4 linked regions of the Arabidopsis thaliana genome follow. The protein of the gene in region 2 interacts with the protein of the main gene of each other region in a pairwise test. Each region holds a gene or a part of one and is shown on either strand. Other genes may lie near its edges.

What was found.
Region 1: the proteins of FHA2 (region 2) and AT1G11510 interact in binary tests that used the Arabidopsis thaliana proteins (3 or more experiments, as listed by UniProt).
Region 3: the proteins of FHA2 (region 2) and CUC2 interact in binary tests that used the Arabidopsis thaliana proteins (3 or more experiments, as listed by UniProt).
Region 4: the proteins of FHA2 (region 2) and BZO2H1 interact in binary tests that used the Arabidopsis thaliana proteins (3 or more experiments, as listed by UniProt).

The regions. Positions count from the first base shown.
Region 1 is NC_003070.9:3,869,447-3,876,418, reverse strand, and holds AT1G11510 (DNA-binding storekeeper protein-related transcriptional regulator), read left to right. Parts: upstream 1-3,489; 5' UTR 3,490-3,582; coding exon 3,583-4,641; 3' UTR 4,642-4,696; downstream 4,697-6,972. Other genes in the region: AT1G11540 (Sulfite exporter TauE/SafE family protein), read left to right, coding at 154-303, 399-539, 635-943; CXXS1 (C-terminal cysteine residue is changed to a serine 1), read right to left, coding at 1,108-1,263, 1,425-1,547, 1,824-1,901; AT1G11520 (pliceosome associated protein-like protein), read right to left, coding at 2,800-3,390; AT1G11500 (transmembrane protein, putative (DUF1218)), read right to left, coding at 4,849-5,077, 5,175-5,401, 5,488-5,601; AT1G11490 (zinc finger (C2H2 type) family protein), read left to right, coding at 6,354-6,807, 6,892-6,972.
Region 2 is NC_003074.8:2,292,601-2,300,072, forward strand, and holds FHA2 (SMAD/FHA domain-containing protein), read left to right. Parts: upstream 1-5,285; 5' UTR 5,286-5,367; coding exon 5,368-5,962; intron 5,963-6,159; coding exon 6,160-6,317; intron 6,318-6,597; coding exon 6,598-6,807; 3' UTR 6,808-6,972; downstream 6,973-7,472. Other genes in the region: AT3G07210 (uncharacterized protein), read right to left, coding at 400-1,780, 2,257-2,519; AT3G07230 (wound-responsive protein-like protein), read left to right, coding at 7,320-7,390. UniProt on the Arabidopsis thaliana protein: May play a role in the control of plant organ development and specifically in the regulation of stamen development. Does not show transactivation activity in yeast.
Region 3 is NC_003076.8:21,899,311-21,907,566, forward strand, and holds CUC2 (NAC (No Apical Meristem) domain transcriptional regulator superfamily protein), read right to left. Parts: upstream 4,545-8,256; 5' UTR 4,486-4,544; coding exon 4,296-4,485; intron 4,216-4,295; coding exon 3,932-4,215; intron 3,310-3,931; coding exon 2,656-3,309; 3' UTR 2,394-2,655; downstream 1-2,393.
Region 4 is NC_003075.7:1,150,731-1,158,944, forward strand, and holds BZO2H1 (bZIP transcription factor family protein), read left to right. Parts: upstream 1-3,223; 5' UTR 3,224-3,300; coding exon 3,301-3,711; intron 3,712-3,799; coding exon 3,800-3,881; intron 3,882-4,227; coding exon 4,228-4,414; intron 4,415-4,495; coding exon 4,496-4,571; intron 4,572-4,647; coding exon 4,648-4,773; intron 4,774-4,862; coding exon 4,863-5,212; coding exon of another isoform or gene 5,213-5,216; exon of another isoform or gene 5,217-5,333; coding exon 5,334-5,355; 3' UTR 5,356-5,626; downstream 5,627-8,214. Other genes in the region: AT4G02620 (vacuolar ATPase subunit F family protein), read right to left, coding at 340-402; AT4G02630 (Protein kinase superfamily protein), read left to right, coding at 953-2,431; AT4G02650 (ENTH/ANTH/VHS superfamily protein), read left to right, coding at 5,809-6,493, 6,572-7,435, 7,527-7,813; AT4G02655 (uncharacterized protein), read left to right, coding at 8,095-8,214. UniProt on the Arabidopsis thaliana protein: Transcription factor that binds to the C-box-like motif (5'-TGCTGACGTCA-3') and G-box-like motif (5'-CCACGTGGCC-3'), ABRE elements, of gene promoters. Binds to the 5'-ACGT-3' motif of seed storage protein (SSP) encoding gene promoters (e.g.

The sequences.
Region 1 (6,972 bases), on a different chromosome or scaffold from region 2:
TGAATATTTTTCTATCTCAATGCTCTCATTGCTCTGTTTCCACATTCCCTCCACTTATTTGAACGTTCCTTGAAGTGTTATAATTCTTTCCAAATTATTGAAATCTTAATGGCATGTAGAAGTAAGAAGTTGATATACTTTGGATTTGCACAGGGAATCATATCGATCAAGCCATGTGGAGCTCTCTACTGGTTCCTCTCCTCGCTTCAAATACCTCTCACTATCTTCTTTACTCTCTGCATTTACTTCAGTGACAATGTTCAAAGCAACCACACATCGCATAGTAACCAAAACTCTGAACAGGTCCAATACATACTACTTGCTGTTGATTAAATTAGCTTTTCTGTTGGTCAAAAGTCAACAGGTTTGATGAATATGAAACTGAAATTACTCCACAGGAGACTGGAGTTGGAGGAAGACAAAACAAGTTGATGCTCCCTGTAATGGCTCTCTTGGCTGGAGTTTTGGGTGGCCTCTTTGGTATTGGTGGTGGAATGCTCATTAGTCCTCTTCTTCTCCAAATCGGTATTGCTCCAGAGGTACGTTCTTGAGTCTTGTTCTCTAGCAGCATCAGAACCAAAGTTTTACCAAAACAAGCAATTGGATTCTTAAGTTAATCGTGCTCTCTCTACAGGTAACTGCAGCTACATGTTCGTTCATGGTTTTGTTTTCTTCATCAATGTCTGCAATCCAGTACCTACTACTAGGCATGGAACATGCTGGAACCGCTGCGATATTTGCTCTGGTCTGTTTCGTGGCATCACTGGTTGGACTAATGGTGGTTAAGAAGGTTATAGCCAAGTATGGGAGGGCTTCGATCATTGTGTTTGCAGTTGGTATCGTCATGGCACTTAGCACTGTACTGATGACAACCCATGGAGCTTTTAATGTTTGGAATGATTTTGTCTCTGGTCGCTACATGGGTTTCAAATTACCCTGTTAAGAACCAAAATTAAATAAATCCAGTTCTTGTTTATAACAGAACTTGCTTTTATAAAAATTTACACTTACACTTGATATTTCACACAAACCAAATACCAAAGTTACAAACTAATTACACTTCACACAAACTTTATTTAGTATTCTGCTCGTATCTATAAATCTCTCTTAAGCAATATGAACAACACGTGAGGACTGAACGAAACCATCGACCCGTTTCTTAATCTCATCAGGGTTTGCGCCCACGAGTTTGTCCATCGCATTACCATCCTTCAAGAACAAGAAAGTTGGCATCGCCTTTACCTCTAGTTGACTTGCCACTTCCTGACCAATCCAACATAGTAAAAAACAAAGAAAAACCATTAATCATCTACCAATTTAGCAACTGTTTAAATCTTTTACTCTTGATGGTTAAACACTTCTCTTCAACAAAGAAGCCAAAGTAGAAAGACATATCAAGTAGAGAGACACATAAGTAGTTTTACCTTAACTTCATCAACATCAACTATTAGAAACAGAGCATCCTTATAGTTAAACGCAAGCTCTTCGAAGAAGGAGTTCATAAACACAGAAGGAATACACCATAATGCAGTGAAATGAGCCACAATCTGCAAAAAACCATAAAGGAACAACCGTTCTTGGTAATTCATATAAACAAACAAGACAGAGCCATTCATTCACAATCCTGAACATTAATATTCATGGTTCATTCTCACTAACTTCATATCTTAAAGAGTAACACAATTTGGATTTAACCAATTGTAAATCAAATTCTCCATAAAACTCTAATCCTAAGATCTTGATTCTTTCATAGGTCTTGGATCTAAATCAGATTTCATTTTGGCTACTAGAAAACGAAAGTGATAAGAGGAAGAGAGACTTACGGGACAATTCTGATTCTTGGCTTGACTCACATAGAAATTCCATGACTCTGCAGAATCGATTTTAACAACTCTTGCCATCTCTTGGAGCTTCCTTTTTTTCTAAATCTCAAACAAGATTTGGTGATTCAGTGTTTATCTACTTGCATGATGGGACCGAGTGGACAAAAACTATGTCTGAGTCATACACAAAAAGTGTGGCCAGTTATCTTTCAACGAGTTACGAAATAATTTATTAATTTCTAAGATATTTAAGAATAAGTGTTGACCAAGAAAGCTATATTAAAAAGAGAACCAAAAAGAAAATAGATATTTTTTTTATGACTATATGCAATGTTAATGTTTAGAGGAATTTCATTGGTGGTTTCTAAATATAAGTTTCTTAACATTAAAACAACAAAAATAATATTATTTAATTATGTGGGTTTCTTAAATATTTAGAAATTCTCTCCAAAATTTCTTATATAAAGTATTTTGGAGATGGTTTCTTCATTAATCAAAAAACCCACACATTTTTTTATAATAAAACTTATCTCTCTAAAATAAGAAACTTAAGTTTAGAAACCATTGATGGGGTTTGAATCCCCTTACAAGTCAGAATAATAAGGGGATTGAATTAACTTACATACTGCAGAAAGACCAAATCCTTCAAAATGTAAATATTAGGTTTACACAATGATGCAATCACCTATTTAAAAATTTACATCATTGGTGGTCTAACATTTTTTTTTTTTTTTAATAAGCATTAAGACTAAAAACTCAAGATCTCTTACTCAAGACTAATAATTCTGGAACATGAATCTCTTTCTATGTCTCATGTCCAGAATCTAAAATCTTTTTTTTTTTGTCTCTTCCATAACGCACCTCAGAAGTTGAAATCTTTCTTTTTCTTCTCTTCCTTGCCATGCATTTTCCTCTTCCTACTATTCTGCTACACATGCTCGACGACCATGTCACTCAAGTCCACTGGCTTATTGCGCTATTTCTCCTCTTCTCTTGCCTCCTCATACTGTAAAACATTTCCCATAGCATCCAGCTCTTCTGGCTGTAAACTGAAATCCACTCTATCTGTCTTTTGCCCTCTCAGCAAATCAACCCTTTTGGTTCCCGTCTTGTCCTGAGTACCAGTCTTAATAACGTATGTGTGTGTAGTTCTCAGCAATGTTCCAGGAGCAACAACACTCTCTCCCTTTTCTTCAAGTACCTGGTATAGAGCCCTATCAGGTTCCTTTCTCTGTTCCTTACGAAGTTCAATTGCATCCGGTGTCTCAATACCAGTAGGAGTGCTTGACAGAGATTTTGACACGTCCATTGCATCTACATCGGCCTGAGATGCTTTGTTCTTCTTCTTCCGCTTCCGTCTGCGGCGGCGACGGTCGATCTCACGAGATTTCTTGGGAAGGACGCTATCAACGTGTGCGACGATTGAATGAGCGGTCATATTCGGGTGTTGTTGTGAAAAGAGAGATCTAACATTTATTTGTAAGAGATAAAATATAGGGAAATAAAATTGGTCAATATAGCTAATTTCCAAATTTTTAAGGAAGGAAATCGGAAATCTAAACGTCATGCAAAAAAAGAGGAAAAACAATAAATAATTTTATACGTTTTCCAATAATTTTTTGATTATTTATTTTTGGAAAACAGAGAGACACTTTGTTCAATATATATAAACCCTAAGAACGAAGTGGTGAAGGCAGCAAAGCAAAAATCTCAATTTCAACCTCTTAAGTCTCTCCAAAGTCCCATAAACCCTAAAACAATGTCGAGACGTTTCAATCCGTTAGAAGATCCGCCGAGTGCTTCTTCAAGCGACGAAGAAGGTAAAGAAATCGCACGAAACTCTTCTTCGGATGATGAAGATGACGTTTCCTCTGAAAACCCATCACCTTTGAAGACGACTCTCGACGCCGTTTCCGATTCCGAATCTGGTTCGGATGAAGAAACCGATTCAGACTCTGAACTCGAGAAGAAGAAAGATCAAGTTGTGACGAATCCTGTGGATGTGAAGAGGGCTAAGAAGGTGAAAACCTCCGAGAAATCTGGGGCTAAACGTTCTCTTGAAGTGGATGAAGCAGCAGTGTCTATGGATGTGAAGAGGGCTAAGAAGGTTTCAGGGGAAGAGGAGAAGAAGAAGAGTGGTGGCGGAGGAGAAGAGACGAAGAAAACTTATTTCCAGCGACTTTGGACTGAAGATGATGAGATTGTGGTTTTACAAGGTCTGATTGATGACAAAAAAGATACAGGGGTAAGTAATACGAATAAGGTTTATGAGTTGGTGAAAAAATCTATTAGTTTTGATGTTAGTAAGAATCAGCTTATGGAAAAGCTTAGGGCTTTAAAGAAGAAGTATGAGAACAATCTTGGTAAAGCCAAGGATGGTGTTGAACCTACTTTCGTCAAACCTCATGATCGCAAGGCTTTTGAATTGTCTAAGTTAGTTTGGGGAGGTATTAGAATGGCTCTTGCATCTGGTATGAAATCTAATGAGAAGTCGAAGAAGAGTAGTAAGTTTGAGTCTGTGAAGCATGAACTTGATTCTTCTTTGCCCAACAGTAAAAACAACTGTGAAGATGAGGTGATGGATGAAGGAGAAGTCTCTTTTACAAAGTCTTCTCTTGTTAGATCGATAGTGGGTCTTGGCATGGATGAACTTACTGCTCAACAAGGATTGAGTAAGCTTGCCTCAAAGGATATGAAGAGATTTTACGAGCAGTGGAAAGCGATGCAGGCTAGGGAATTTGAGTTCTTTTTGCAGAAGCATGGTTTTCTTTTTGAAGTGCTATCAAAGATATCTGAAGCATTTGGATCAAACGCTTAGATATATTTATGGTTTTTGTTTTTTTGGTTCTGCCTCTTTTGTTTAGAACTCTTGGCTTTTTTATATTATATTTTAGTTTTCTATTGATTCTTGAAAGAGTTTATTTTGGAATATTGCGGATTTATCAAAATGGAAGGAAGCTTTTTTGAAGCAATTTAAGTTTATTTACAGATGAAACATTTTGTGTATCTTGATGAAGAAGACGTGTTATGCGCGGCTTCTATTTGCTAGATTTTCTTGTTGCGCATTCTCTTTGTCTTCTTTTTTAGCAGCAATTGCTGAAACATAATATGCTGAAGTCACCACTCCATGTCCTAGACAAAATATGCCTCCAATAAGAAAAAACCAACGATGTGGCAAGCTGCAGAGTCGATTCGTTCTCGAGTTGGCTAATGTTCCTATCATTAGCGTTGAGTAGCTGACAACAAAAAAGATCCTAAGACAAACAAAGGTATGTCAAAAACAAAAACAGCTGACATAATTCAAATTTGTCTTTTGAATGAAATCCAAAAACCTATTATCTTTTCCATTACCAGGAGAGAACAAGGAAAGCCACAGCGAGTATCTTGTTCGCCGTTGCTCTTTTGAAATCTTGCTTAGAGCGAATGTAAGTGCAGCCTCCAAGCACATTAGCTAGGACATGGACAATAAACAGAAGCACCATTGCAGCTACTCCCTCAGCAAATGCTCCATCGCTGGGGCTTCTTCGACATCCAGAACCTGAATGTCTTGAATGTTGTTGATGATGATGATGAGGTGCCTGAAGGATAAACATCAAATACAAGAAAAGATTATTGGTAGTTAAAATAAAATAAACTACATTTCACTCTTAATATAAAACAGAACCTTGCTTTGAGCAATCTCGGCTTCGATCCCGAGGACTGTAGCTGTAATGTCTGCACATATGATCACAACAGAAACCAAGAACCCAAGTTCACTTTCCATTTTTCCTTGATTCATAATAAAAACCTTATATTTTTATTTGATTACTGTATTTATTTCAATTGTTCTATGAAAGTTTAAGGAAGAGGAAAATAATAAGGAAACAGCATCAGATTACTTTCCTAAGCTTGCCTCTCACTGCAAGACAAAAGAATACAGATTCGGTTTTGGTCTTTCCAAGTAAGTAAAGTTTCATTCCTTTTCTATATAATGACATTAGTTTGGATGCTTTTCTTGTAAACTGGATATAGTAGTAAATAATTCTACTACAAAGATATAATTTCATATTGAATTAAGAGGTTGATCACATGTTTGACTTTTTTACTTTAAAAATGTCAAAGCTCAATAGAGGCAGCATGTGGCGTTATACTCTGTTTTGGAACGTGAAGAGAGGTGAAAATTATTATTCCCATATCTTTTTTTCTTTCTGTAATCATATTATGCTAAAAATTATTATAATTTTCCAGGTTGTAATTGGAAAAGAATCATACAGGGTTAAGATTTGATCATTTTTTTTTAACATAAACGTCAAATTTTAGTTGTAATTTTCTATTTCTAAAAAAGATTTTTTAGTTTGTTCTTTCATGGTGTGACATGATATCATACGTTTATGGAAATCTTCAGTCTCATTTTGGAAACAGTTTGTGTAGATATGGTGAAGCAGGAACAAACAGAAACAGAGCTGTGTCCGAATCAAAGCCAAATCTTCATAGAATATCTTTATAATTCACATCTCTCCCAGTGAATCCAAAGACGGATCTTGAACAAACATGCGTGGGGTTTGGCTTTATCTCAAGAAGTCTCTTAGCTGCTGCAAGGCACAGAAGTCAACTGTAGCTTGTGATCCAGACAAGATCCAAATTCAGAAGAAGGAGAATCCATCTGGATGCTCAAGAAGATCAATGTCGAATCTGAGAGATGTCTTTGTAACTAATGGAGATGAAGGAGCTATGCAGAATGTAAGCTGCTGCAGCTCACGGTCTCTTGAGAGCTCCAGGTTTGTAAACACAGTGAAATTTGAGGAGAATGCAGGTTATTCAGACAGATTCAAAGGTTTGCTTAGCGGAGCATCTTCTTCTGATTTACTTCCCGGTCGTTGTTCAGAGAGATTTGATGTTGTTGGCTCTGACATCTGCGGTTTCGGAGTTCTTGCTTGTCAAAAATGTCATGAGAGAGTCAGAGATCTTGACGCGTTTGAAGCACATTACCTCTCTAACCACTCTGGTAAGACTTGAATTAGATGAACTTTTTCATTGACTTTTAGCCAATGTTGTGAGGAGAATTTGATTTGTTTTTTCTTTTTTGCAGTCGTTAGACTCTTAGCAGGAGATTTCTCAAGAACAACTGTGGAACTAATCTGCAACACAGGCTATTCTCACAAGCTAGGCA
Region 2 (7,472 bases):
ATGTTCTCTCTCAAGTTCACTAGAAGGCAGTAATGGCATCTGCACATTTTTCTGTTGGTCCACAGTTACCTCTTATGAAAAGATTATTCTTTTGGTATCATTCCCATGAAATCATTGCTGTGCAGATCAAAGAACACATCCAACAGTCATGGCCCAATCTATGTTCTGATAGCAAAAACGAAAATACTTTTTTACTTCCAGGAACTCAAAATCAATGATTGCTTTAAGGGCTTAAACCCGATCGATTCAAGATTCTATGTTTCCTATTTGTTGTTTTCTTCAATATGTCTGCACAAGAGTTAAAATAAAATTGGTTATACAAGAATGAGAGATATCGAAATCTAAACAAAGATGTCTCTCTTTCTATGAAGGTGGCTCTTTCTCCGGTCTGTATCGACCTTAGAACGCCCATCTTGGTGAAGAACTAACAGCTCTAGGTCTAGGTACCGGTTTGATAATCTGTTGCTCTGAACTATTAATCCTTTTCTTCATGATAGATGAGACCGTTGGGCTGTAATAGTCATTACTCCTCTGTGACATTGCTCCTTGTGAATGCATCTTCTTCCCATGGACGAAGCTTCTCTGTTTCTCCAGCATTTCTCTTCTACCATTCAAACTCTTCTGAGGAGTTCCCCATCTGCTGGAGCTCACACAGCTTTGACTCCTTCCAACTCTCTCATGATGAAACTCGCTTTTTCTTGGAGGAGTTGGGTAGTTTCGGCTTTCTGCTGTTTCTGCAGAATACATTGTCTCTTCCTCGCTGCTGTATCCATGATTGTTATATACATAGTGAGCTGCTGCTGGCGGTGAACTTGAGATGACCTCACTGAGAGCACCATTTACTGAACCTGTCGAAGCAATCTGCGCATCTGATCCTTCAGAGACAATCTCAGCCTCTTCCACTATATGGTTACTCTGTAGAGAGTTGAGCTCAGGATGAAAGGTTATAGCTTTAGGTATCCGTGGAGGAAAGTTGATGTCCAAAAGGTGTACTTGAGCTGTCTCATTTCTTAGAGGACCAGAAGTCAACTTTGGCGATTCATATATCTCAGGGGTAGGGATACCCTGCGCATGAGTAGTAGTTCCGCAGACTTGTGGATTGGTTTTTGAGGTTTCTTCTTCTTTTTCTTCCTCAGCAGCGATAGAAGAGCTCGGATGAGTTTGATCTCTAGTGTTAGATGAAGATGGTGTTCCAACATCAGCAGAGTCGTTTGGCTTGAAAACACGGCGCATGGTGAATGAAGTACAAGAACGCTCACTCTTCTGACCAGAAGACATTAATCGAATGAGAGGCAACTTAGGTTTCGTCGTATGTTCATCCAAACTACCTTCCCAATGCTGATTCAGCCAGTCACATATTACTGGTATTGGTATACCAAACTGCATCATCAGTGTCTTGTTGTTATCTTTCTTCAAAGAAGAAGAGGAAGATGACGAGGTTGAGGTTGGTGATGTCGATAGTTTCCTCGGATCACAAATCATGAATGCAAGATTCCCTTGAACATCAAATCCAGCAGATCCAGGACTCCAAATCATTTCATCAGTTGAGAGTTTGATGAGATTGTCGGTAGCTACAACTAACTTTCCCTCGCCGATCTTGAGTTCATTCTGATTGGCATAGCCTAAGAGGTACACCACACTCCCTAGATCCAGGTTTGGTTTGGAACATGTCTTCAGGTAATGTGGTTGTTGTTGAAGTTGGCTCTGGGAACTTGAGTCTCCATCAACAAGGTCTAAGCCAACAATAGTGAGATCAATAACTGAACTCGTAATGAAAAACCTGCAAATGACACCATATAAAGATAACACTCATTTTCTGATAGCTAAAGAACAGAAAACACCATCATTGACCAAACAAATCCACAATTCAGATTGGTTCTTATTATGTTTGATGCAATCAAGACGTTTCCATTTTGGGAAATATCTGAACAAATGAATTTTCATGTTCCAATAATCACAAAATGATATATCAATGTTTTGGTTTAAAGTTTATGAAATTAAAATGAAAACTTACCAAATTCAGCTACAGATCCAGAATCATTACCATATAACATAAGTACAGTATAAAGCTCTTTTCTTTTAAGTTCTTTTGGTTTGACGAAAAGATATGGATTCATTTTTGAAAATTTGAACAAGAGCCAATTTTTTTGATGGCATTGCATCAAAATTTACCAGGATCGTGCAACCGACAACACAGGAAAATGAAAAATCAAATTTTGAATCAAACTCAAGAGAGAGTAAAGAGAGAGGTGGGACCTGTGAGGGAAGAGAGCAGCAGCGACACCGTTCTGAAGGCGGACCTCGGCGGTTTCGGTGGCGGAGATGGAAGGAAGATTGAGGTGAGTGGTCAGAAGAAGATTCCGGTGAATGAGGAATCCAGTTCCAGAAGTAACACCATTTGGTCCGGAGACAGAGATTCGAGCCATCGCCGGAGCTTTGCCGGTAAAAATGGAACCTTTCATCTTCTCGCTTTTGCCAACTCCTTTACAAAAGCACCATGAGTCCAATATCACTCCCATTGTCTCTCTATCTCTTGATTATGCTCTCAGATGGGTTTTGTGTCAAATTCCCTAATTTGGCAATCTGGGTTTTGGAGGAGAGTGTTTTGGATCTGAAAAGGATGGGAATTTAGGAGAGAAGTGTGAATTGGATGCGAGTTAGTAATAATGGGATTAGGGAGACACAACACATGTATGTGTCTGTGTCTGTTTGTGCTGTAAAAACATCAACTTTCTCCGGATTTGGTCTCGATGAAGACCCAAGAATGGGAGAAAACTCGAGAAGAGGTAAGTGAGAGAGAAACAAGAGACAGGGGAATCGTGAAATGAGTAAAGAGATGTGCTTCTTTAAGGAGCTAGCTGGGGACTTCTTCTTCTTCTTTTATCACTTTTATTTTTTTCTTTAATTCAAAAGAAAATGTATAAAGATTGGGGGAAATGTTTTCTTTATTTGGTTTAAGTGTGTCATTTTGTAAGAAGAAGCAAACAGAGGAAAAGTCTAGAGTGACAGAGAGGATCTTTGTACATGTGATGAACATGGATGGACTTTTTGCTTATTATGATTAGTGTTTTTTGCTTAACGTTTTCTTTGCTTGTCGATTTGTCTAATCATGGTTTCATTAACTTATATCTCTCTTTGTTATCAAATAGATTTGGTCATTTAACCAAATTGTAATGTATATGATTACCAGTTTTAACCATCTCGGCAAAAATGTAAAATTAAAACGACATTTCCATTTCAGAAATCTAGCTTATAATAAACTTGGAATAGTTACATGTTGTTAGATTGGTTCAGTTATGGTTGCAAGTCAATTTATTATCACTTATCAGCATTCAAGTCCAACTTTTTACTTCAAAACAAACAAAACTAGAAAATCCAATTCAATCAATTTTATTGGAGCATTTAAGTTAATCTCAAGTAGTTTAAACTTGAAAGAGTTGGATTCACAACTTATTGTATACACGAGAAAAAATGTAACAAACGATATTCCAAAAAAAAAAGTCAATTAAAGTGAACTTATCAGAATAACATTGTTCTTCATCATGTTTAAAACCCCAAAACAAAATCCAATTGCAAACACCGGTTTCTCAATGTACATCTCTCAAAAAAACATAGTAAACGACTGTACATAATGAAAATGGGAACTCTTTCTATGAACCATCGAAGACTCCAAGTATTCTATTACACTGGTTAGGGAGTTGAAAAGAAGTAAACCATAATGTGTCAAATCCGATCCAACATCAATTCCGTTAGCGCTTAAGAAGTCTTTTTGCATCTGCAATATCCTGCAATATAACAATAGCACCAAAACAAACTAGTACATAATCAACATTAACAACAGCTAGGAGCAAAAGCACTAGTCAAGAACTTAATTTAACCTTAATTAACAATTCGAGTTAACAAAGAAAGAAAAGAGTACTGAAAGTACCCGCTGCAGAAAAACTGCTTCTTTAGGAGAGGTAGGGAACTGCACTAAACCGATTCCAACAATTAATAGCAAAGGACACTACAACGTATATAGGTAGCTGGTGCAAAGATATACATTATTAATATTGACTAACTGAGAATAGCAATAAGCAAAAATGAGCACAACAGACTCATTACTAACCAACTATGTTTGGCTACGAGCCATAATTGCAGCCTGCAAGAGAGCAAACTAAAAGGCAGAGACAGCTACCAGCAGGCTCAAAATCTTGACCACATGCTTCATTGTCCTTGAAACAAAGTTTATGTAAGATTTGAGTATTGACAATATACCAGAAAAGAGGACTACACTAATGCATTTTCCGATTTCTTGCATATTTGGAGCTGACCATGAACGGGTGCCATTAAAGGATATCTATAGAAGTGAATTCCTTCAAATAACAAATTGCCAATTCTAAATCCATTACGCATAATTTCCACACATCTTAAGCAACTTATGTCCAGACCAGAATCTAGCATAGTCATGATAACTAAAAGAACAGTAAAATGCAACCCAAACCATCAAAATGGGAAAGGAAAAAAAAACGACTTTTCACATTTTCTTGGATCTCATAATACAAGCGGTCAGGAGCTCAAAGCCCTTTAAGCATAATTTGTAGAACCTGAATCTTAAAAAAAAAAAGAAACACAAATACATGATTTCCCACCGTTCCTCAGGATTTTAAACATTCTATAGTCAGATCCTCAGGAAATCAAAGCCATTACACAACACATTTCAGAACATTATAGGCTAAATGATTTGAAAACTTGAATCCTAAAATTCATTAAGCTGCCCCAAAACCAAGCTTCTACTAACAAAACAAACTACAATTAACCATCCGAATCAAACCATGCACCCAAAACTCGAATTGAAATTTGATATATCTAACAATGATTGAGCTGCCATCAGAATGAATTATTAGAAAATAATTTTGTCACGGTTCCTTCAGACCAGAGTAAACTCCAATCATCCGAAACTCAAAACCCTTGCGCAAAATTTTCAATCATCATTTGGCAACTTATTCAATCAAACCAACAACGAAAATAAACAAAAGGTTACATAAAACTAACCAAGCCTATGTTCTAAAGCAAACGAAATCAAAAAATTCAAACAATCAATAAGATGCTCCACTATTTGCGGGAGAGATGGAACCTTTAAGCTCACAGATCTCGCCGCCATTCTCAATGTTTCTTCGGCTGTTTTAAATAGTTGTGTCATTAGGGTTTTTATTCAGGTCTTAAAATCATGGGTATAATCGTCAATTTCACAAAATAAGCCTTTGTCCTGGATAAGCTAAACCAGTTTCCAAACAAATCTTGCTTCGATTCACAAATTATTACGATTGCAATCCCTAATTTGGAAGTCCCGGTTCCTCTTTCGATCAAATCGGAGAATTTCACGGCATGGCTACGGCTGTTGGTGGCGGAAGCGATGTGGAGGTTGGATTTGCGAAGCTTCAAGGTGAGGATTTCGAGTACTATATGCAGTCTTACTCCATTATACTCGGCCGGAATTCTAAGAAAGCCACCGTCGACGTTGATCTCTCATCCCTCGGCGGTGGGATGAACATCTCGCGCAACCACGCTCGGATCTTCTATGACTTCACTAGACGACGCTTCTCTCTCGAGGTCCTTGGCAAAAATGGCTGCCTCGTTGAAGGTGTTCTTCATCTCCCTGGGAATCCTAACGTCAAGCTCGATTCACAAGACCTTTTGCAGATCGGAGACAAAGAGTTCTACTTTCTCCTACCGGTTCGGAGCATCTTAGGCGGGCCGTTGGGACCTAGGCACCACGTCTCTGGGCAAACAAGTGTTGTTCCATACCATAATTATCAGTCGGGTCCAGGTTCTGGGTCGGGTAAGAAGGGCGTCAGGAGTAGAGAGTTGTATGAGTACGATGATGAAGATGATGATGACGACGACGATGAGGAGGACGATATGAGAGGAAGTGGAAAGAAAACAAGGAGAGATGGACATGAAGTAGTATATGCTTCCGGAGGTAAAACCAGATTGCTCATGATTGTTTGAGTTTTCATTGTGCAACTAGATATGTTTCAGATTATGATGCTTACTTGATCACATCAGGCTTGTTTCTTTAGACTTTGATTGTGGTGGTTGCTGATTGAACCTTGTTAGACTTGGATTGAATTTGAATGCTAGTGACACCACGACATTGTATCTGCTTCATTTGTGCAGAGAAGAAGAGAGAGGGAAGATCAAAGGTAGATCGTGAAGCTGATGATCAACAATTTTTGCAGCTGGAGGAAAAAGATGTTGTATCGTCTGTTGCCACTGTGCTTTCCGATTTGTGTGGTCCGGGAGAGTGGATGCCTATGGAAAAACTTCATTCGGTGGTTAGTTTTTATGAGAAAGTTCCTTGCCTTTTTCTAATACAGAATGTAGTACGAGTAATCAATTGAAACAAGACTTGTATAATGTCAAGGTGATAATTAGTGTGAAGCTAGGTCCTTAATTAGTTTTCCAATGGAAACGCGCTACGCTACTTATATGTGTCTAAGTCTAGAAAGTATGTCAGTTACTCCATAGATTTTGAATGACTAGTGTAGTCTGACTATGAACTTCTTTGTGATTCAATATGATGGCTAATGCATGGTAGTGGTTGGTCTGTGACAGATATTAAAGGAGTATGGAAACGTATGGCATCACAGTCGAGTAAGAAGATACCTATCACAAGAAGACTGGGCTATCCCTGAAGCAAAAGGTAAACCATGGTACGGTTTGCTGATGCTGCTGAGAAAATACCCGGAGCATTTCGTCATCAACACGAGATCAAAGGGAAGAGTTACCCTTGAATTCGTTTCCCTCGTTACCCTACTCTCATGAGAACTTTACCTTAGTGACTCGGATTAAGATTTAAGAAGCTTTTCTCTCTTTTCTTTGTTTCATATGTAAAATATTTTGGCATTGATTAGTAACACGCTGTGTCGTTTTTCTGCACCCAAAAACGCCAACTTCTTGGTCCTTGCAGTTGAGAGATTTTGATTTTCTTTTTCTTGATTCTTATTTTTGATAAACCCATCGAGATTTTTCTTTCATCAAAGGGCAAAAAATTCGTGCCAATTCAGAAATCGTTATGTTCGGTGGATTTGGGCCATAAAAAGAGAAAAGGCCGAAACAGAGAATGATCCAAAGTGGCTCAAGTACGTATCCAGACAATATAAAAAGGTTGGAATGTGCAAACTTAGGGTTATACTCGTATCTTGTAGCAGCCACTAAAGCAAAATTCTGAGATCGAAAAAGCTATATAAAAAAAAAAAACTGCTTCCGTTTCATCGATTTTGTCCAGATCTTCCCCTTCTTCCGGTAATCGAAGCTTACGAGATAGTTGAGTGAAGATGATCTATGATGTGAACTCTGGTCTATTCAGATCCTTCCTGAGCCAGAAGGGTAGCTCGTCCGACAAAAGGTACAAAATCTTGTCTTGTCTGATCCAAATATGAGATTATCTCGATGTTGTTCCCAGATCTATCTATTGATGTGTCATTCTT
Region 3 (8,256 bases), on a different chromosome or scaffold from region 2:
CTTACTTTATACATTCATGTATCACCTAAAACTAAAATTAGAGGAAAATTTGTTCATCTAATACATCTAAATTACTCAAAATTTTATGAGACAAATCATTTAAGTATTACTATATAAAACCAAGTACATGAATGTATCGTAGATTCAGACCATTCATCACGACCCATATCCCTATGCTCACCAGCAGCTGTCTTTCTTCCTGAAAACGTCCAAGCCCTAACTTTTTTCCATTTTCCTTCCAATCTCAATTCACTTTCTCTTTTCCAAATTAAATTTTTCTTGTTTCTTCTTAGTTTTCTTTTTTATGTTTTACCCTGAAACTTTAAATACATGAATTATCGAATGATATATCGTCCAAGACCAAGTTCCGATCCCGTACGACGCGTGGATTGCTATTTCCATGCACCAAGCCTACTCTCTCCACTCATTAGTACGTATAACCACATTGCATGCATGCTCGTATCACGTGCCGTTACCTCGCCGGCCATGTCCATCAACGGTTATGAATCTGCCATTTGGCACAACCTGGAGGGTTCAATACTGTTGGGACCACGACCATCATCATCGTCGGAGTTTGATGATGTTTTTTAATATTTTTTCACTCTCAGGTTTTGTCATTTGCTGCGAAACATGCATATTGCCATGTACTTGTATTTGAATACTTAGGGTTCTTGTAATAATTGCTCGATATAAATAGAAATTTAGAGAATATTCTTGCTGGGAAGATTACAAATACTTGAAATTAGTTTCAGTCCGACAAAGAAAACAACCCTTATTTTTACCTCTTTATGTAGCTAAAGCAGTATTTCTGCAATTTTGAAAATAGTATAGGACACTCAAATGCTTAATTTTATATATTCATTTGAAAGTGTACATGTATGTGTGTTTAAAAAAAAATCGTTGGCACATCATTTGAATGCAATTGATTTATATGCGAAATTTTGATTTAGATTTAGTTGGCATAATTTTTCTTTTCCTCTTCACAAACTTTCCAGCTGTTTTAATCACATGATAATTGTTGGGCGTAATCGGTGTGGGCGTAATGACGTACAAAATCAGACATTTGTTTTTGGGGCAAAAAATCAGACATCTTTTAGAAAAGCAAGTAAAATTTAAATGTTGTAGTTATTGAAGCTGATAATAATAATAAAATATAGTAACTTTTGGTTTAAGATTTTTATTTTTTAAGTCAGGCCAGCTGAATTTTCTGCTTTTTTATATATACATAGTGTGATAAAATTAGTCAGTTCTTATCATCACTTAGCTGTTCTTTTGTGTAAATAGCTGGGTTTTTTCTTATATATATATATATATATATGTTGGTCAATGTTTTTTGAACCAATACCATTTGCCTTAGTTTGTTTTGTGATTGCAAATGTAACCAATGAAACCCAAAATAATAAGCATACAAATGTGTACATATATTCCTTTAGCTAAAACATCATGAAATTTTGCCATTTAGCAAGACGTATATGTGAGTCTGTGAATTTGTCTTATGACTAGGTAGTATAGGTTGGTGATGCAACAAGAGCAATAATTGATGATGGTAATGATGATGATGATGATGATGGTTGTGTTACACACATACATATATCATACTCCTACTAGTATACACACGTGAAATGAAAACACATATATAATGGTAATAAACAGAGGTATTATTAATTATGTCTCTTTCTAAAAATAGAAATGTGAAAGCCATCCTTCTGAAAGTGAGGTGGACTGTTGTACAAGATCTGAATTTGGGAGTGGTCCGTTCGTCAGCATGCGCATCATATTCATCATCCCCGTTTCAAAATCCTTAATTTCAAAACTACTTCTTTTCTTTGGTGGGTTTACAATGCATTAAGTTAATCAAAATTAGTATGTAAATTATTTTCAGTAACTACCATGTACATGCATGTTATCTTAATCAATTAAGCCAAACGCAAATTGTTGTGTTTAGTCTCATATGTGTACGATTGTAGCAAGAAGATACACCTAACTGAAAATGGTGTTCATAGACTGATTAATCCACTGAATTATGAGTACTTACTTTAAAAGCATGAAACTTTCTTGAAATATTTTGGCAGTTACACATGTCAACCTTAATTAGCTAGAATTAATAAACAAAAACTACATGCATGTTTTACATTTGAGCATCTTCAATTGATGAAGAAATTAAATAATTAGCCATGTTATGTAATTACGGAAATCATCTAACCGAAGATTCGGAACGGTTGAATTCCGGAAACATATATATAACCGCCATATCAAATTGTATTAACAAGAAGAAAACTAAGGTATCTAGAAGCGACCGAAGAAATTCATTTTGTCGGTAATATACTGTATGATTGTATTGATAACCAAGGACACATGTCAAATATCATGAGAAATATAAAACATGAAAAAGCCATGAAATTAACATAATGTCAAACATTACAAAAACGAGCATAGCTTATACATATGCACGTTCATAGTCTAGAAAACATTTTCCTTGCATATTACCTCCTAATTAACACAACCGGATAAACTTAAAACTAGAGAATTAAGCGGAACATCAAGCTAAGTGCAATATTAAGCTCCTCGGTACACACATTTCATAATACCATAATCATCCTAGAAATACATAAATAAAACCCTAACGGGAACAATTATAAGTCACCTCTTTTGTGATCAGTAGTTCCAAATACAGTCAAGTCCAGCATGAAGCACACCGACCTTTGACTCATTCTCTTCGGCAGTCGCCGGTAGCCAGTAATTCATCCCGGAGACGCCTCCGCCGCCTTGGAAAGAAGGCAGATTAACGGCGGAGGTCATAGTCGATGCAGAAGACGATCCAAAGTAAGGAAATTGATTGAAGTTTTCTTGGAACGATCTGAAGTTAGATTGAGTCGAGACGTTTCTAGAAACGAAACGAGGAAAAGGGTCAAAGTCAAACCCTAGCGGCGGTGGAAGACGGCTGAATGAGTTAACGTCTAAGCCCAAGGCCGTAGTAGTAGTAGGGACAGTGGAGAAACAGGACACGTGCTCGGTTATTGCGCTGGCTGTGACGGTTGTGTTGGTGCTACGGCTGTCGTAGGAGCAACTGCTGTCGGTGTAGCCGAGGGTAGTGGTCGGATCCAGGAGAGGTGGGAGTGAGACGGAGGAAGGAGAGCTTGGTTGTTCTTGATAGTTTCTTGAGATTGTTGAGGGTACTTTCGTCTTTTTAGATGGACCAGTACCGCTGCTTACGCTCACAGTTGCTCCTCCTCCTCCTCCTCCTTCGGAGACGGCTCCGGTGCTAGCTAAAGTGGTTTTCTGGAAAACCCTAGAGATCACCCATTCATCCTGAAGGAATAAATTAGAGTTTTGAAAAGTCAAATATTTTATATAATATATGTTTGATGAGAAAGTCAATGTTAGATCTTGGAAATAAAAGAGAGTGAAGATTAAGAAAAACCATAGAGTAAAAGCGTGCACAGAGGGAATGTACATTGGACACTACAAGTCTACAATGGATATGGAACACTAATTAAGTAAAATTAATTTAATTAAATTTCTTTTTAATATATCTAGGTCAGAAAAAAATCCTGAAGATTTGCATTGGTTCTGGTTTTTTGCATTAAGCTTTCCAAAAGTAGGATGTATTAATATTTTATTTTATCAGAGCTATTGAATGTTTTCTTACTTTAGGAAAACACCATTATGATTGAAATCCCAATACATAAAAACAGCAGATCTTTTCTATTTCATGTTCCATAATGCTCTCAGATAACCACAGTAAAGAACCATGCCTTTTCAGCCATCAAAATTAAATGCAATAAAGCAAAAGAGAAAAAAATCAACGTCACCGACTATGTCACACTCTCGAATTTTTTTTCCAAATAATAGATTGTAAATTTATTAATCAAAGAAAATTAAGGCTTTACTTTATCAACAAAATAACTAATGAAAGGTTAAATCGAAGTACCTTGGAGCTTCTTGAGATGAAATGGTAAGAGAATTTGCCTTCAAGACGATATTCATGCATAACCCAATTACTCTTCTCTCCTTTCGGAGCTCTTCCTTTGTAAAAGACAAGAGTCTTCTTCATCCCAACAAGTGCACAAGTCTTTGAACTAAAGATCTCTCTGTCTTTTCCGGTAGCTTTCCAGTAACCAGCCTCAGTTGCTCTGTTAGTTCTCAGTCCCGTCGGATACTTCCGGTCACGGAGGCTAAAGAAGTACCATTCTTTCTCTCCCATCTTAGCTCTCCCTAAGTAACATTGAGAGTAAAGATTTCAGAAACCTTAATTACAAAAGAACTACAAGTAAGTTAGTTTTGTATTTTCTTACCGGGAAGTTGCCAAGGCTCACACTTGTTGAGATCAACTTCTGCGATGGCACGGCTTGAGAAGCAACCGTCGAGGACTTTGCGGAGAAGGTAATGAGTGATGAGCTCTTCGTCCGTGGGATGAAACCTGAAACCCGGTGGAAGATATTGGCTGTCTCCGCCATGGTCGTAGTGGTAATACGGAATGTCCATTAAGAAGAAAGATCTAAAGCTTTTGTTTGAGAGAGAAAAAACCCTAAGGAGACTCAAATGTTTTGAAGAAGAAGATAAATAGGTTAATATAATGGATGGTTCTTGAGTAAGGGGCGTGGTAATAATGTGGATGGATATTATTTTTTGGTTTTATTAGTTTATTTTTTTTATACATTGGGATTTGGTAAATCTAAAACGGCGAAATAGAGGGAAGCTTTTTTTTTGGGGTAGTGAAAGTAAAATAATTATTAAAAGATTAAAAACCAGAAAGTCGTAGAGAAGATAATTATAAATTTAGTAATAATAAAAAGACAGGTACGTCTACTCTTTCATAGGAATCTGTGGTTTTCTCTGCCTTGTCTTGTAGTAAAGAGAGCAAAGCCAAAGCAGATTATTACATCACATTTTTGAGTTTATCGATATATTTTTTACATAACTCGAGATTGTTTTAAAATTACAAAATTAAAATTAATCATGAAGTGTCCGTATTTCTTTGAATTAAATTATTAAAGAAACGAGGAATGGGCTCTTGTTTCTATCTGAGTATGCGTGCGTGCATGAGAAAAAGTGCAGTGGTATTCTCTGTCAGTGATGAAAATAAAAGAGAGGATTCAGATTGTATCTTTTTTTTTATCTACGAACTTGAAATTTCTTTTTATTATTGTGTTTGGAAATTGGGATACATAATAATTTATTATACGTACAATGACTAATCGAAACAATAGTAGTATAGTGAGGGATACATTATTAGACATATACACTAGTTATTTGGAAAGTGAAGAGTTTCAATTTTTATTTTTAATAGAAAAATGGATATTATATCGATAAGGCTGTTTCAAATCTTGGAGTGTCAGCACAGTACATGATTAATTTATCAAAAACTTTGACAGAGACTTCGTTACTACACGCCACCACCTTCTACACCTTTCACCTCTCTTTTTTTTTTCCTTGATTTTCTTTTCGTTTTTGTTTCATCTTTTCCATTTTCCAATTTTTTACTCCTGTGATGGATTTTTAGTTACTTTTCATTGCTTCATATTCATTTGTAAGACTCAGCAAAAGAAAATTAAATTTCATTATTTTCAAGCAACGAGATTTATGATGTAAGATTGAAAAATAATTTAATCAAGAAGTTACAGGTTGCAAATCAGAGAAGATATTTATGCTGCCTGGTTTTGTAGTTTTCTTAATTACTATCTCAAGTCTGTTTTTTCTCCTTTTTTATATAAATTAATTATGGCTCATCAAATAACTAATTATCAATTATGTTGATTGTTACAGGTCCACCAAAATGACATGACTAAACGTAAATTTCACAATTGTTAATTTATTTCTGTTACTTCCAATATTTTGATTATTATCTCATACAAATTATTTATTTTAGTGGAACTTCAATTTTAGCCCTATTTGACATGACTTGTTTTTTAAAATTTCCCACCCAAAAATGTACTAAAGAATAAACTAAAGAATAAAAGACACACCCAAAAATGTAAAGACCTTAAGATCAAACTAAAAAGATAGTGAGTTGATCAATTTCTACTAATAAATTAACTACAGACTTATTGACTATTTTAACCGTATGAAAAAATTGTATAAACTTAAATCAAAATAACTCTCCCCTTCGAGTATTCATATCTACGGACTTATCATGTGTGTAACTATTAGTTAAAAAAAAGAAGATGTTATAAAGTATGCAAAGTAATAATTATACATTAAAAATCATTATCAGAGACATGCTAAGACTATTACACCTGCTACTACTGTTTAATAGTAGTATTTATTACTATCTAGAAATTGTAGGTCTATCTATACGTCTTTTTAGACATATCTGCATATGACAGTAACTAAATCTAATTAATAAGATCCTTTCCTGTCTTAATTACAGATAGTTGAAGTAAAAGATTATCACCAAGCTATGAACCGAAGCAATAACATTATATAATTGTAATTACTTGAATTTATGAAGTTTTGAATACATTCTAGTGTGCCAAAGTGTTAATTGTCTTAAACTGAAAACAATGGCCAAACAGATTACAATGTTGATATTGACCTTGCCAAATTTTAGAAATTTGCTTTACTTTATCTTAATTTAAACATATATTTTTCACGGTTAATTTGTTTGTTTGCTTAGCATTTTTTTCATAACGAGAAAAATATTCTTATGACTTTAAATATCTAATATCCGTACTTTTTCAAGGTTAAAATGCACACTCCCTACTTTCTATCACCTTCATTCCATTTATGCTATATTTTTGACACTTTAAATACCACATTTATCCCCTTTTGATTAATTAACACAATAGTAGAGTGTTTGATATTCTATATACATATCATCCTCTTTATTTTATTTTTCAATTTCTTTTCCAAATTGTTTATATTTTTCTATTGATCTGAAATTTATGGCTGCTTTCGAACACCAAAATGGATTTGTTTTTCTCTACAGAAAAACATATGTCCTACCATAAAATTCGTTGTTGTTTTATCAATCATTTATTACAAAACTTTTATTTATTTTCTAAAATGTTTGGTAATACCGCATATCATCTTTTTTTAATAACTGCAAAAAGCAAATGAACAAATGCCAATAATAAACTATTTGACGTAAGAGAACCCAATAAAATAAATAATGATAGCATTATAAATGCAGGAGGTTAACACAGTATTAAGAAACAGTAGATATTCCCTTGTGACCTACTCACTTGAGTAAACTAATAGCCCAATCTATGTTTAATTTCTTTTTGTGGTCAACATTTTTTTGATAATACATATTTGTAATTTTTATGGTTCGAAAGAGGATCTTACTTCAGATAGACTTTCCCAAAACAAAAACCAAATTATTTGTTATCTCGATGGTCAAGCTCAAGCAGTCGAAGAGTAGGTAAGGAGAAGAGCAGTTAATATAGCATTATATGGCTACATGGACTCTGTTTTCTGTAATGTATAAATAATTGTATACTGTAAATATCTTAATTTATGATATATATTTAGATTAAAGGCAATTGTGTAAGAAACGTCGAATTTGAACTTCTTTATCAAATAATCAGAATATCAGATAATAAGTAAAGATCGTCTAAGTTAAACTAATTTAGTGTATAGGCATTGATTATTCTTTCTTCTTCTTCATCTCTTAACTCTTCCTCTAGTCGACCACAATGCTAATGATTTCCTGAGGAGAAAACAAAGGAAATGCTGATCCATCTGAGTGAATCACCGTCGTATTTGATGAAGGAGGTGCTTCTCCTTCTCGGTCTTGAATGTTGGACACTTCTTTTATATATTGTTTCAAAAAATGTGAACAGATTTGTGATTTTCACTTTTTTTTACCCTTTAGTTTCTTACGAGACACTTCTTTGGTGTGTTTTTTTTCTTGGTCCCCTTTGATAGCCTTACACCTAAAACCTAGCTGTTGATGCAACGTCTCTCTATTTTTTTCCTTTTTTTTTGCAACTTGTTCGCGTCTTCACTCTTCAAGACTATAGTACAGCCCCATATATAAATTTTACCTGTATACTATATATTTGTTTTACATACGTAGAATTATTTTCTCTCTTAACTTGTATTTTCTTGAATTGCACGCTATATCTGAAGAAAATGTAGTAGGATCGAAGTTACTTTGATTAAGTTTATCAATGATTATATCTTTATCTCAACTTTACCCAAACATATTATTTTAAATATGCCTTGATGATATCAGATTATCAGATGAATAAATAAATTATAGTATTCCCAGGCCTGGTCCTGAGGCCCATTATAGTTTTTCTTCTAAGATAA
Region 4 (8,214 bases), on a different chromosome or scaffold from region 2:
TGAAATCAAAATTCAGTAATAGCAGATCAGATCATCTGCAGATTTGGTCTGATCCCAAATCAAGAAATACACAGAACTACGGACAAAGCTATTCTAAGGCTTGAATCACTACCAAAAAGATTAAAAATTCCACAAACAAATCCAAAAAGTCAAGCAGTTTACGGATAAATAAATCTATACAAACAACGCATTGATTTAGTTCAGATCACATCTCAGAGATTCAAAACTCAACACAGAAGATCCAAATGAAAAATCAAAATTATCTAAAGAATCAAACTAATGGAACCTCAAATCCTTCATCAACATATAAAAAGATGAGTTTTTTGGTAACGAATTTACCTCATCGGCGATCATTGCGATGAGGGCAGAGTTGCGAGCAGGGATCGTAGCTCTCCCAGCCATATTTGATTCAACTACACACGATAAACAATTCCAGAACAAAAATCAATCCAGCGAAGAAGACAATTATCGAAATTGGGTAAAAACCCTGATCAATTCCTGATCTTAGATTCGAAGATAAAGCAAAAGCTCATAGATTTTACTCATTACCTCTTTTTCTCTGTTCTTCTCTCCTTCTTCGATTTGATTTGATAGATAGATTTGTGTAAATCACAACCAAAGACCACGCGCAAAAAAAAAACTTGTTCAGAACACGATTCAATTGACAATATTACCCCTGACTATACCTTTAATAACGATACTACCCTCCTTTAATAATTGCTCATTAACAGTAAAAGTGGCAAAAGTGTAAATATATACTAAAAATAATGATGAGTGCAAGTCCCATCAAAGCCAGCTTGCCTCTTCGAGGGTACGTTTGTCTTTTCGACATCTCTTTTCTTGTCTCTACTTCAGAAAAACCTCCTGTGATGATTATTATATGTGAAGCAGAACAAAAGCAAAAAGAGAGAGTCAGAGGAAGAAGAAGAAGAAGAAGAGTCAGTGAGCTGCAATGGCGGATTCTCACTCAGTCAACAATCAGCTCTCGAGACACACTTCCATTTTTGGTTTACGTTTATGGGTTGTTCTCGGCGTTTGCGTTGGAGCCGCGATCGTTCTTTTACTCGTTCTCATCTCTCTCTGGTTCATTTACCGACGAAGCAACAAGAACAAATCTCTTGAGTCTTCTTCTAAATCTAACCATACGATTGTTCCCGTTGTTTCCAAGGAGATTCAAGAGATTCGACCTCCAATTCAACCCGACCCAACACCGGAGCCACACCAAAACCAACAAAGAGAAGACGATAACAAAATTCACATCGAAATTGGTAAAGATCATCGGATTGCGTACCCGGAACGAGGAGGTTGGACTGGTTCCGGGTCTGGGTCCGGGTCGGGTGATCAGGGTTTACTTATGTTGTCGGGTCCTGAGGTTTCTCATTTAGGTTGGGGACATTGGTATACGTTGAGAGAGCTTGAGGTTTCTACTAATGGATTTGCTGACGAGAATGTGATTGGACAAGGAGGTTATGGGATTGTGTATAGAGGTGTTCTTGAGGATAAATCAATGGTGGCTATAAAGAATCTGCTCAACAACAGAGGACAAGCTGAGAAAGAATTTAAAGTCGAAGTCGAAGCTATTGGACGCGTAAGACACAAGAATCTGGTGAGATTGCTTGGTTATTGCGTTGAAGGAGCTCATAGGATGTTAGTTTACGAGTATGTTGATAATGGGAATTTAGAACAATGGATTCATGGTGGTGGTTTGGGGTTTAAGAGTCCTCTTACTTGGGAGATTAGGATGAACATTGTTCTTGGAACAGCCAAAGGGTTAATGTATTTACACGAAGGTCTTGAGCCTAAAGTTGTTCACCGAGATATTAAATCGAGTAATATCTTGCTTGACAAGCAATGGAACTCGAAAGTTTCTGACTTTGGGTTAGCTAAGCTCTTGGGTTCGGAGATGAGCTATGTGACTACTCGTGTGATGGGTACGTTTGGGTATGTGGCTCCTGAATACGCGAGTACCGGAATGTTGAATGAGAGGAGCGATGTTTATAGCTTCGGTGTTCTTGTTATGGAGATTATTTCAGGGAGAAGTCCTGTGGATTATAGCCGGGCTCCGGGAGAAGTGAATCTTGTGGAATGGTTGAAGAGATTGGTGACGAATCGAGATGCGGAAGGAGTTTTGGATCCGAGGATGGTTGATAAACCGTCGTTAAGGTCATTGAAGCGTACCCTTTTGGTAGCTTTAAGATGTGTTGATCCTAATGCTCAAAAGAGGCCAAAAATGGGTCATATCATTCATATGCTTGAAGCTGAGGACTTGGTCTCTAAAGATGATCGGAGAAACTCTGGAGGAGGAGGAGGAGGAATAGAACAGGGAAGGTCACCGCGGAGGAAGACAAATGTGAATGAATCAGAGGATGAGAGTGGTAATTCTGTTCTGATCAACAATGACCAATTAGCTTTGGAGAATAAGCAGAACTAGTAAAAAAGAAAGAAGCTTTGGCATTATAATTTTGTATTACTATTTTTAGAAGTTTTTTCTTGTGTGTGTATATTTATGTGTGTAGATTCTTAGCCCTTTCACAAAAAAAAAAAAAATGTGTGTAGATTCTTGTAATTTTGCAATAATTAAAACTGGGGATTGCTTGAAAAATATATATATGGTTTGTTTTTTTGTATTCTTTTGGTTCGTTCTCTATTGTAATATAGCCTACATAGTGGTGATTTGTGGTATTGGTGACACTATGTTAAGGTCAAAAAGAAATAGAGAGTAAATTCCATATATATGAAAATTGAAAATGACTGTTTAAATTTACATATGGCGCGAAAAAATGATCTAGTTCGTTAATTATTTTTAGAAGCTTTTTGTGGTAAATTTAGATTTTTAAAAAACTCCATATATTTTTTTTTTATAATTTAGGCTTGTCTATTGTAAATTTGTAATATAGCTTAGTGATTTATTTGTTTAGCTTCTGGTGACATTTTATAAATTTTTAATGACCAGTATAATATAGTATTTTTTTATAAATTAAAATATAATCTAATGTTTTATGTCAACTTCGTTGTTCATTGAATAAATCAAACTTTGAAGAATAATTAAATAACAATGTTTGCAAAAACTGTTACGTTTTTTCATGTAAACATTAGTGGACGTTATACAATAGATATTTAAATTATAAAAACTATTCAAAGAATATTGTAAAGAAATAAAACAGAAATGTGTAAGAAAAAATGTTTATTTTATTGTACGTAATAAAAAAAGAGAATATACTTGTGTGGGTGGACCTAAATGCAAATAGGCAAAGTACCGACAAAAAAAGAAGAATCAGAAAGTGAAAAAGAGAGCGAGCGATGAACAGTATCTTCTCCATTGACGATTTCTCCGATCCTTTCTGGGAAACTCCTCCGATTCCTCTCAATCCCGACTCTTCTAAGCCTGTTACGGCGGATGAAGTTAGCCAGAGTCAACCGGAATGGACTTTCGAGATGTTTCTCGAAGAGATTTCTTCGTCGGCGGTGAGCTCTGAGCCACTTGGTAACAACAACAACGCGATCGTCGGTGTTTCTTCGGCGCAATCTCTTCCTTCTGTTTCCGGACAGAATGATTTCGAGGATGATAGTCGATTTCGTGATCGCGATTCGGGAAATTTGGATTGTGCTGCTCCCATGACGACGAAGACGGTGATTGTTGATTCCGATGATTATCGTCGTGTTCTTAAGAACAAGCTTGAGACTGAGTGCGCTACTGTTGTTTCTCTTCGGGTGTGTTGTTAATCTTCTATTTTTCTTATCTATATGTGTAATTTGTGCGTTTTGATCTAAATCTGAAGCTCTGATGTTCTCTTCTTAGGTTGGGTCTGTGAAGCCTGAAGATTCGACTAGTTCTCCAGAAACTCAACTTCAACCAGTTCAATCCAGTCCTCTTACTCAAGGTAAGAGTCTCTTCTTAGTTTCACCAGGATAGATGAGCGATGATAAACCTGCAGATTCGTTTCTCTGTTCTGTGTTTGTTAATTTAGATGCCTAGGTTAAGGAATTAGAAATAGAAAATGGTACTTTTGTTGGATCAAGCGCCTAGTTTTATCCGTCAAGTTTCAATCTTTTTGTGACTGACTTTCTCATTGAAATTAAACTGCTTTCTGGAAGAACAATAAGCTTGGGATTGAGATGAGTTCTGGTGGTTAGTTCAATATATGGGAAATCATTATTTCAGCGCTCGTCTTTCTCTTTCAGATATCTCTTCTGAGTCTTAGACATAGTAAGTTTTAATCGTGGTAGGTTCTTTGATGACCCCAGGAGAACTTGGTGTTACTTCTTCCTTACCAGCTGAGGTGAAAAAAACTGGTGTATCAATGAAGCAGGTTACTAGTGGATCGTCGAGAGAATATTCTGATGACGAGGACCTTGATGAAGAGAATGAAACCACCGGTTCCTTGAAGCCAGAGGACGTTAAAAAATCTAGAAGGTAATCATTACTTTTTCTCCAATTTCTTGTCGTTTGAAGATTACATTTATAGAGCCTTGTTCTTCCTTTTAATATTTGTAGGATGCTGTCAAATCGTGAGTCAGCTAGGCGATCTAGAAGGAGAAAGCAGGAGCAAACAAGTGACCTCGAAACACAGGTTTTGTGTTGTATCCTCTCAACACCTCATTTTTGTGTTGAAGGATATTAATGAGACCTAATTTGTATTTTGATAGGTTAATGATCTAAAAGGTGAGCATTCATCACTTCTTAAACAACTGAGCAACATGAATCACAAGTATGACGAGGCTGCTGTTGGCAATAGAATACTAAAGGCTGACATTGAGACATTAAGAGCTAAGGTAAGAAGACTTAAGTATTATCCTCCTCTCCTTTTTCTGAACTACCCTTTTTTTGTATACAGTTTTAGTAACTCCCATGTTATGTTAAGGTGAAAATGGCGGAAGAAACCGTGAAGAGAGTAACAGGAATGAATCCGATGCTTCTCGGAAGATCAAGTGGACATAACAACAACAACAGAATGCCAATAACTGGTAACAACAGGATGGATTCTTCTAGCATTATTCCAGCTTATCAACCACACTCAAACCTAAACCATATGTCAAACCAAAACATCGGGATCCCAACCATTCTACCTCCAAGACTCGGAAACAATTTCGCTGCTCCTCCATCCCAAACCAGCTCTCCCTTGCAGAGAATTAGAAATGGGCAAAATCACCATGTTACTCCAAGCGCCAACCCGTATGGCTGGAATACCGAACCTCAGAACGATTCAGCATGGTAAGCTAAAACATGGCTCTTTCTTTTAAGACCATTGAACAATTTAAAACCATTTGAAGTACTATGATCCCTGTTTATACATATCAGATTCCTGTCTCCCCTTTTTTTGCTCATTTTACAGGCCGAAAAAATGCGTGGACTGATCAAACAAGAAGCGGGTTTCGCACTATATTAATGTCTATGCATCTGTAATTTGTAAGTGTTATTAAGTTACGAATCATGAGAAAACATCTTGTGAAAATACAGTCTCATGGCTTATATATATATATAAGCTCTGTCTTATAACATTACAAGATTCTTATTTGAGAATCGTCTTTCTATTTATAGCTAATAACAGAGTGTATATCTGTTTTTATCCAATTTTAAAAAAGATAGCTCACATGGCTTTACTAATTTCCCCTATCATTAAATTCCGACAACCTCGGCGATTTCCATGGTAGATCGATCAAGCATTCACATTTTCTCGTCAGAAAACACAAAAAAAAAAAACAGAGGAGAAAAAGAGACGACGACAAACAAGTGAAAGAAAAAAGTCGTCGTTCTTCCAATTTTTTTCTCCTCTCTCTTCCTCTGTTTAACGGCGTACGTAAGTCAAAATGGGTTCAAGTAAGCTAAAACGTGCCATAGGAGCCGTGAAAGATCAAACAAGCGTAGGATTAGCCAAAGTCGGTGGTCGAAGCAGTTCTTTAACGGAACTCGAAATAGCTGTCGTGAAAGCGACGCGACATGATGACTATCCAGCGGAGGACAAGTACATTAGAGAGATTTTATGCCTAACTTCTTACTCACGCAATTACGTAAGCGCTTGTGTGGCAACTCTCTCGCGACGGCTCAACAAGACCAAGAACTGGTCGGTTGCTCTCAAAACCTTGATTTTGATCCAACGGTTGCTAACAGATGGAGATAGAGCCTACGAGCAAGAGATCTTCTTCGCGACGAGACGAGGAACGAGATTGCTTAACATGTCTGATTTCAGAGATGCGAGTCAGTCTGATTCGTGGGATTACTCTGCTTTTGTTCGGACTTATGCTTTGTATTTGGATGAACGTCTTGATTACCGGATGCAAGGAAGACGAGGGAAAAAAAAAAGTGGTGGTGGTGGTGGCGGTGATGGTGATTCCGGCGAGGAAGATGATCATCGAGGGACAAGCAACGATATTCGGTCGAAAGCTATTGTGGTTAAATCTAAACCAGTCGCAGAGATGAAAACAGAGAAAATCTTCAACAGAGTACAACATTTACAACAGCTTCTTGATCGGTTCTTGGCTTGTCGTCCAACAGGTAATAATTAATTTCCTTGGAACACACGCTTTTCCACTTTCGGATTTCTTGGTTAATAAGTTAGGTCTTTTGCAACAGGTAATGCGAAGAACAACAGAGTGGTGATTGTGGCTATGTATCCGATAGTAAAAGAGAGTTTTCAGTTATACTACAATATAACAGAGATCATGGGAGTATTAATAGAGCGATTCATGGAATTAGACATTCATGATTCCATCAAAGTCTATGAAATCTTCTGTCGAGTTTCTAAACAGTTTGACGAGTTAGATCCGTTTTACGGATGGTGTAAGAACATGGCAGTTGCAAGATCTTCAGAGTATCCAGAATTGGAAAAGATTACACAGAAGAAACTTGATCTCATGGATGAGTTTATAAGAGATAAATCAGCTTTAGCTGCACAAACAACAAAATCATCATCAAAAAGGTCTAACAAATCTGAGGAGGAGGAGAGCAAAACAGAGTATATTCAAGAAAATCAAGAAGATTTAAACTCCATCAAAGCATTACCCGCACCGGAACAGAAAGAAGAAGAGGAAGAAGAAGAGAAAATGGAAACAAAGAAAGATGTTGAAGAAGTGGTTTCAAGACAAGATCAAGAGGGTGATTTGCTGGATTTAACAGATGAAGCGGGTGTAACGGCAGGAACGGTTGGTGATAGTTTGGCGTTAGCGTTATTTGATGGTGTCGTTGGGACCGAGAGTGCGTCTGGACCGGGGTGGGAAGCGTTTAACGATAATTCGGCGGATTGGGAGACGGACTTGGTGAGATCGGCGACAAGATTGTCGGGACAAAAGAGTGAGCTCGGAGGAGGATTTGATACTTTGTTGCTTGATGGAATGTATCAGTACGGTGCGGTTAATGCTGCGGTTAAAACGTCTACGGCTTATGGAAGTAGTGGAAGTGCTAGTAGTGTGGCTTTTGGTTCTGCAGGAAGCCCAGCAGGTAAAACAAATTTAAAATGAAATCATTTTTCAATTTTTATCTTAGTTTCATGAGAGTCAGTTCAATGAATCTGATCTAAATGATGATGCAGCCTCGATGTTGGCATTGCCAGCGCCGCCACCGACAGCCAATGGAAACAGAAATAGTCCGGTGATGGTGGATCCATTCGCGGCGTCGCTAGAGGTAGCCCCACCAGCATACGTGCAAATGAATGATATGGAGAAAAAACAAAGATTGTTAATGGAAGAACAAATAATGTGGGATCAATACAACAGAAGTGGAAGACAAGGTCACATGAATTTCGGACAAAACCAACAACAACAATATTATCAGCTTCCATACTCCATGGGACCTTACTCTTACACGCCTCGCTATTGATATTATATAAATAAACAATCACCATTAATGAAGAGCTTGAAAGAAAGGTGTTAGCTTCTTTTTTGTTGTCCCTCTAACATTGTAAACTCTTCTGGTCACTATTTGTGAACAACACCTATGATATTATTATTATCATTATAAACCAAACTGATACTCCCTAGTAAGTGAAACTCATGAAACATTTGAATGTTGAAACCCCCAATTTTCACTTTAACATATAAAACTGAACTTTCTTTTAATGCGAAACAAGTTTCAAATATCTCATTACTCACTGTATATAAATGTCTATACGCTTTCTTTCTTCACAGAAACAACAAGCGAAGCCAAAAGCAATGAAGACTTCCATGAGCATCGTCGCCGTAGTCTTCTTTGTGACCTTCCTCGCTATCTCTGCTGCTCCC